2 linked regions of the Kluyveromyces lactis genome follow. The protein of the gene in region 1 interacts with the protein of each later gene in a pairwise test. Links are inferred from orthologs where the notes say so. Each region holds a gene or a part of one and is shown in the gene's direction. Other genes may lie near its edges.

Region 1 (4,703 bases):
TGTGATGAGAGTTAAGATCACTGATTTAATCGTTAAAACAATTCCCTTCAAAAAAAAAATGAGATCTAGTATAAACAAAGAAATGAAAGATGTAAACCCTACAAAATACAACAATATATTATAGTTGATGAACATATTCAATGGGCAAACAAGTAAACAATGGAAACCATTGTTGATGGGGTATGTTAAATTTCCCTGTCAATCACCTAGTGTTTGTTGACAATATCTGAATTAGGAAATACGTAAACATCAAATTAGAGGAAAAACCAAAAAAAACACAGAATTGGCAAAGGAAAACGAGATCATAATTACATAAGTATTCACGTGATTTCAAATTTTCAACTAGCAGTAATTCCGGGTAAGTAAATTCATTCTATTAATATTTTATTCTTTTCTCCAGCCACCGACCTCCGCCTCATATCCGAGGAAACTCACGTGCCGAGCTCTTACCCGGATAATCATAGTTCCTGACAATTAATTACTTTTCCATTCGCTGGCAGAGATAATCAAAGAAAGGGCGTGCAAAGACAAGTACCAAGGAAATATAAACCTTGAGCTTCAATCACCAAGCTTCTTCGCAGAGGCATACTTGCGTATTATTTTCACTGGCTCTAATTCTAAATACTCAGAGTGTGATTCGAATTGGATCATTTATTGTCCTGGTAAATCATCATTTTTTCTCTATATACGAGAAGAGCTGAAGATCACCATAATAGGGGCATAATGCGCGCTAAATTTGTGCTGCGTCGTTAATACTGAAAAGTTCCTGGGTTTTCAAACATATGTACTATATATAAAAAAAACAGTGTACTGTGGCCAGTACATTAGCAATATCCTAACTGACAGGATTTTCTAGCTTACTGCCTTGCTGTCATTCGGCGTTCTTCTATTTCCTTTATTTTATTCTGTTCGGCGTTTTCCAATAATCGAGAAAATTTCAAAATCCGATCCCCTTTTCATTCATCTTCCTTTTATTCTACCTGGCTATGGTAGTATATTTGTTCTAGTGTTTTTTCTAACTTTGTTAATATTTCATCATTGTCATACTATATTGAAATATAAAGAAGGCATTTTTAAATATTGAGAGCTGATTTGATTTGATTTGAACCAATTTAAACTTTAGAGAAGAATTGAGTTGTTTTGCTAAAAAAACCCAAACCAGTCACTCACCGAGTTAGTCAAAAGGGTATATTCACTGTGAGATTCTAGTGTAGTCGATTCAGAAGACAAAGATATACTTTTATCTAATAATTGGCTCTTACTTTCATTGACCCGACTCTAGTGTGTTTAGAAAACCGAGATATAAAACTTATCAATCAGAGCTAAAGCTAACTTTCCAAGGAACAGGTCAAAAATAGCAAATAGGTTTTTTTCCCGGCTTCTCGCAAATATCCAATTCACGTTATGGAGAAGAGGAAAGCTTCCGGCGATTCTATGTCAGGATTGTCCAACATTCCGGAAGTTATCGATCCAGGAGTGACAATTCCCATATACGAAGATGATTTCACCTTAAGTGGTGGCAATAATATAGACCAGCTACCAATCCAGCCACAGAAGCTAGGTTCTTATAGATCCAAGGCAGGGAAATTCTCCAACACGCTATCGAATCTTTTACCTAGTATCAGTGCGAAATTGCATCATAATAAGAAGGGTTCAAAGGGTAGTAGTGCCGTGGGAGAAGGTAACCATTCTGGTGAGTTAAGCTCGGATGATGCGACTGCAAATACCAGTGAACAGACTTCGAAGTCGGGTTCTATAGCTCAGATTAATTTGTCAGTGCCTGGACATATCACCCCGCCACTTGACGTAGATTACAATCAAGCTATTCATCTTCCGGATAGTTCAAGTCTTTTGGTCCCATCACAACCAAGGCTTTCCGGTGATTCGTTCACTTTTGCCACAAACAGCGTCCCGCTTCAACCAACTGCATCAAATACCATTTCCAGAACTAGGAACAATACCGTTTCATCTCAAATTACTGGCCCTTCTAACGTCAACGGGTTGGTCCCAAATGTCGGCAATGTTTGGTTCCCTAACGATATGAGTGTGAATCCAATGTCTCCTCCTGGCATTCAAACAACTACTAATCCAACTAATGTCAATAATAATAATAATAATAACAACAGCCATTTAGCACCAGGTACGTATAGTCCTTATGAGGCAACTGGTAACTATTTCGATCTGAACACAAGTTCTAATAACATTAATAACTTGGGTGTACCTGGAGCAACAACAGCTGGTGCCCATCAGTTCCAATCTCAACAAATTGGAGGGGTTTGGAATTCGAGACCTAGGTCTCAATCAAATGCGTCCAGTATCTATACCGACGCTCCAACCTACGACCAGATGGATACTAGATCTAGGGCTTCTACTTTCATTATACCACCTTCTATGGATCCACAACTAAAAGCCACTGCTGCTTCTACCAACCCAATTGTTCAAGATGACATGGATTCCAGATCGATCAATTGGGTGACAACTGATCCATCAGTACCATCGATCAACCACATTTCAAACTTATTACCAACTAATACCATATCCATCTCTAATGTCTTTTCATTGCAACAGCAGCAGCCTCATTTGTCCAATACTGTCAATTTGACGAGTACAAGTTTGGCAACGTTGTGCTTGAAATTTGGAACTGTCATTTCAGCACGGACCTTGAGGGGCGTTAATATGGCAATTGTTGAATTTGCCTCTGTGGAAGCTGCCATCAAGGCAAAAGAGGCTTTGAATGGTAAAGAAGTATCTCTAGTCGGTGCTCCAAGTACTGTTTCCTTTGCAAAAGTCTTACCTATGCATCAACAACTACCTCAGACTCAGCAAACTCAACAGCAAAATAACCATCAATCTACTGCCATCAACCCTCAGTCCCTGCTACAAGAACAGTTATTCTCAGGCGCAGTCCAATTCCAACAGCAAGGTAACGTATCCGTTCCTTCTTTTACTGGCAATACGCACGCACAATCGAGCTCTCAAGCATTTGTGTCACCTACCAATCCATCCTCAAGTAATTCTGAGAAGGAACAATGTCCATTCCCACTACCACCACCATCTTTCAAGGAGAATATCACTTTGTTGAACGATACTATTAATAAGTTTGGTATCAATTATGATACATCTCAGTACCAGCATATCATTGCAAACGCAATTGAATACAATGGAACAAGTGATACTACTGATTTCGGTCCATTACCTGAGCCCTTATCTACAAGGGAGTTCGATGCCCCAAGGCTTCGTGAATTACGAAAAAGTATTGATTCTGGACAAATGTCAGATTTGGAAATTGAACAGCTAGTTCTAGCTATGTTGGATGAAATACCAGAACTGAGTTCGGACTATTTAGGTAATACTATAGTACAGAAACTATTTGAACATGCCTCTTCCGTCATTAAAGATATTATGTTAAGAAAGACAAGCGTATATTTGACATCGATGGGTGTACACAAGAATGGTACTTGGGCATGTCAAAAGATGATTACAAACGCAGATACCCCAAGACAAAAAATGTATGTGGCAAACGGAGTCTATAAGTATTGTACCCCATTGTTCAACGATCAATTTGGTAACTACGTTATTCAATGTGTGTTGAAGTTTGGTTTCCCTTGGAACAACTTTATCTTCGAGAATATTGTTTCCAACTTCTGGAATATCGTGCAAAATAGATATGGAGCTCGTGCAGTCAGAGCTTGTTTGGAAGCCCATGACATAATTACTCAAGAACAACTCTTATTACTTAGTGCTATGATTGTGTTTTTTGTGAAATATTTAGCCACCAATAGCAATGGGGCCCTTTTGGTTACGTGGTTCTTAGACACTTGTACTTTGCCAAAAAGACACTCAATACTTGCTGAGGCATTATTACCAAATATTTTCGAATTAGGGTGTCATAAGCTTGCCTCATTAACAATTTTGAAAATCTTGAACTATCGTGGTGATGAAGTTGCCAAAAGGGCTATATTAGATACTATCTTCGGCCCTATGGATAACGAAATATCTTCTAAACCACCTCAGCTCTTATATCAGTTGTTGAGTGACACGAATTATGGACCATCTTTTGTTTATAAAGTTTTGTCTATTCCTATGTTGGAAGGAGACGTTAGACACCATGTTATCGAACAAGTTCGCTACATTTTGACCACAGAATCTAATATCACACAGCATCGCAGACTCTTGGAAGAAGTGGGCTTGAATGCAATAAACAATCAACCATCTACCGCTCAAACCAAGCCAAGAATGAGTATTTCCCATGTTTTTGGTAATGACCATCCTCAACATATGAGGACTGTTTCCGTCAACAGTGTCAGGTCGGCATCTTCTAGACCAAGAGCCTCCTCGAACGCACAATCTCAACAGCAACCCATCCAATCTTCTCAGGTCCAAGCTCAGTTACCTCAACAATCCCAATCTCAACCTCAGCATCAACCTCAGCAAGCGTCCATTTCTGGCATCTCTGGGCAAGCAAGCTACTACACCTACCCTGGCATGTTTCCCGCTTCACAACCGTATCAGTATTCCACGTCAACCAGTGGTCTGAATGATGATTTAGTGTCAAATTTTGATATGCTGACATTCAATAATGGCACGCAAATATCCTTGCCGCAACTAACAATGAATGGTCAACCACTCCCCCATTCTCAGAATAGACATCATAATGGACAGTTTGGTGATGGAATGTTCAACCACTGATTTGTTCACGAGCT
Region 2 (2,798 bases), on another chromosome or scaffold:
CAAAGAGCAACAAGTACGGTGCTTTGCAAAGTGGCGGAATGAAACTGTCTCGTAAGTTTGGGGGTACTTTAAGGCTAAAACAACGATTGAGTTCTGTACCAGAGCTGTTGCTGCGTGGTATTGAACAGCAAAAGGTAAACCCGACGAATTCGAAGACTATGGACCCTAAGGTTATAAAGAACTCGGGAGTCTCTTCAGGATCTATGAGACGGCTGATGCCTTCGGTAATGGAAAAAGATGAGATTGGGGACAGGTTATTACCAAAGACAGCAATTAGGTATCAAAATTTCAAAAGAAAGGCTTCTTCGCCATTATCTCAAGAACCAATTATCAATGTGCGCAAAGAGAATAGTTATATTGTGATGCCAGTTACCACTGAAATAATCGCACCATCTGCCGTGCTTGGTTCAGCAACTTCTACAAACCCCGAGGATTTTGATAACAGACCTTTCTTAAAATATCGTGAGCGTAATAGCAACAGTGATTTGCTGTTGGATGAAATTATGAATCTGTACACTAACAGAGATGTAAGTACGGAAGATTCGCCCATAATTAAGAAGAGAATTGATGATTTTATTGATACCATTCATGAATCTTTACAGAACCACAAGGCCTCAAGGGAAAAGGATAGGACGCACAAAGCTGTTGATATGTCACCAATAATAATAAATAAGAGCAGCCCAGGCTATGTTGATTGCCTGAAGCTACCAAATACACCAGAGTTAAGTCCTACTGAAAATTTGGAAGCCAACATCTCCACTCCAGAATACGTTACTTCAGGTGGGTCGGATCAAAGTAGTGGTGGTGAGGAGTTTTCAGATCTGGATTCCTTAGCTCTGGGGTTTAAGTCACCAGTTAGTGTAAGTGATGAATCTTTTTACAGTTGTTCAGAGGAAATTACGAAAGATATCAACAGTCCATCTACTACCTCAGAAACTTCCTTAATGAGCAGACACTTTTCCATAAGGAATGCTGGATTGACTGCCATTAATCCAAAAGTTCTAAATATCACTGATATGCTCGGATTTTCGGACGAAGAGGTTGAAGAAGTGACCGTCACAGACTCCCCTTCTGCTGAATACATAGATATTTCTGACAACTACTCCACAAAGATCGTTGACGATACTACAAGCAGCATTTATTCCCTTCAATCTGCTACAAGTAATCAGTTCGAATAACGAATTCGACGATTACGATTGAGTAACAAAGTATATAGCTATACCTAGCTGTATACACTGCATTTAAAACAATGAAAATACCCAATTATACGTACAAACCGTGATCGTAAGATATAACATCACTTATGTTTTTGTTCTACCTTGGGTCGTATTACCCTATCAAGCAGAGTGAATCTGCTTTCTATTTTTACCGTTTACGGTTTCTCAAAATCATAAATACTGAAATCCTAATGGAAAACAATAACTTCACGACAGTACTATGGTCGAAGTGCCTTCATCTTTTCTGAACCTTATTAACATTGTTTATGAGCAAGAATTGAACCGTGATACCAGATCTTGTTTGCCACAGGTTGATAAATTGCATACACAATGGCGCCTACACAACTAGAAATCAAAGAACGAGCACTCAAGAGATTATGCAAAGAGGAACATTTCTATCAAGAAGAGCTTGAACAACAGAAACTCCATGTCAAAAAATTACAATCAGATCCATCAGTAGATCCATATGATCTAAAGAAGCAAGTTGAAGTGCAACAAGATACAGAAAGGCTACTTCCAGAATTGTATAAAAAGATCAAACAATTTAGGGATGACCTCGATAAATACCTAAGCTCATACGAGGGTACAGAGGATTTAGAGTCTGCAAAGGCCGCGCTTGAAACTGCTGATGAACTTTTGAAGAACTAGGTATAGTAATTGTGTATACTGTATAGTTTTTAAGTCCTCCATGCATTGAAACTGTGGATATATTTGATATCGTTAGTAATATTAGTATGGTACTAATTGAAATATCATTTTGAGGCCCGAAAATGAATTTTAAAGTCGAAAAGAAGAGAATATCTTGAAGAGTTAGCGAAAGACCCAACTAACAAACACCACCAAGATGAAGCAACATCAAGCAGAAAAGAAACCTGTTAGTAATCAGTTATCAACGGGAGAGAGAATAGCAACTTGTTAAAGTCCATTTAATTATGTTCGAGCTTTGAGAATCAGCAAAAAAATGTTCCAACTGAGGTTCGAACTCAGGACCTTTGCCGTGTGAAGGCAACGTGATAGCCACTACACTATTAGAACAGATCTTAATTAAAAAAGAAAAAACTTGCATCACTCATGCGAGCTAGATTATTGTTGCGAACTAGTCATAACGCATGACCGGGTAACTACCAATGTAATAGGCGGTTAAGTATCAAGATGATACATAAGGATTGTTTCTAGTTGAAACATCATTAACCAATCTGAGTTATTATATAAGGAGGCATTAGATCCGGGTAAGGACAATCAACACAGTCATGCCAGATCGCCAGGTGCATCAACATACATTACTAGATATATAGCTAATAAACACTATGGATTTATCAGATACCAAAGATCTTAATTTAACAACACGTGACTGAAAATACCAGTATCACCAACAGAACTCGCATTTGTCCCATACACCACCGACGTTCAACTATTAACCAACCACCGGGAGGTTAGCGTAGTATCCAGTGTCGTGTGGGAAAGAAAAGCTATATTCGAAGTAAAATTTCCAGTATTGAAGTACTTCACGTGCTGAATGCACCCAACTTGTTTCCATTCGAGCCGTCAAACGTATAGAACTCGCGGCAATGCACGTGATAA

What was found. The genes of interacting proteins can lie anywhere in the genome.
Region 2: the proteins of JSN1 (region 1) and RBL2 interact in a two-hybrid assay, tested with the Saccharomyces cerevisiae proteins (2 studies listed by BioGRID). The link is inferred for Kluyveromyces lactis from reciprocal best matches to the Saccharomyces cerevisiae genes JSN1 and RBL2.

The regions. Positions count from the first base shown.
Region 1 is NC_006041.1:540,588-545,290, forward strand, and holds JSN1 (Jsn1p), read left to right. Parts: upstream 1-1,404; coding exon 1,405-4,689; downstream 4,690-4,703.
Region 2 is NC_006039.1:823,047-825,844, reverse strand, and holds RBL2 (Rbl2p), read left to right. Parts: upstream 1-1,547; coding exon 1,548-1,865; downstream 1,866-2,798. Other genes in the region: DSE3 (Dse3p), read left to right, coding at 1-1,178. UniProt on the Saccharomyces cerevisiae protein: Tubulin-folding protein; involved in the early step of the tubulin folding pathway.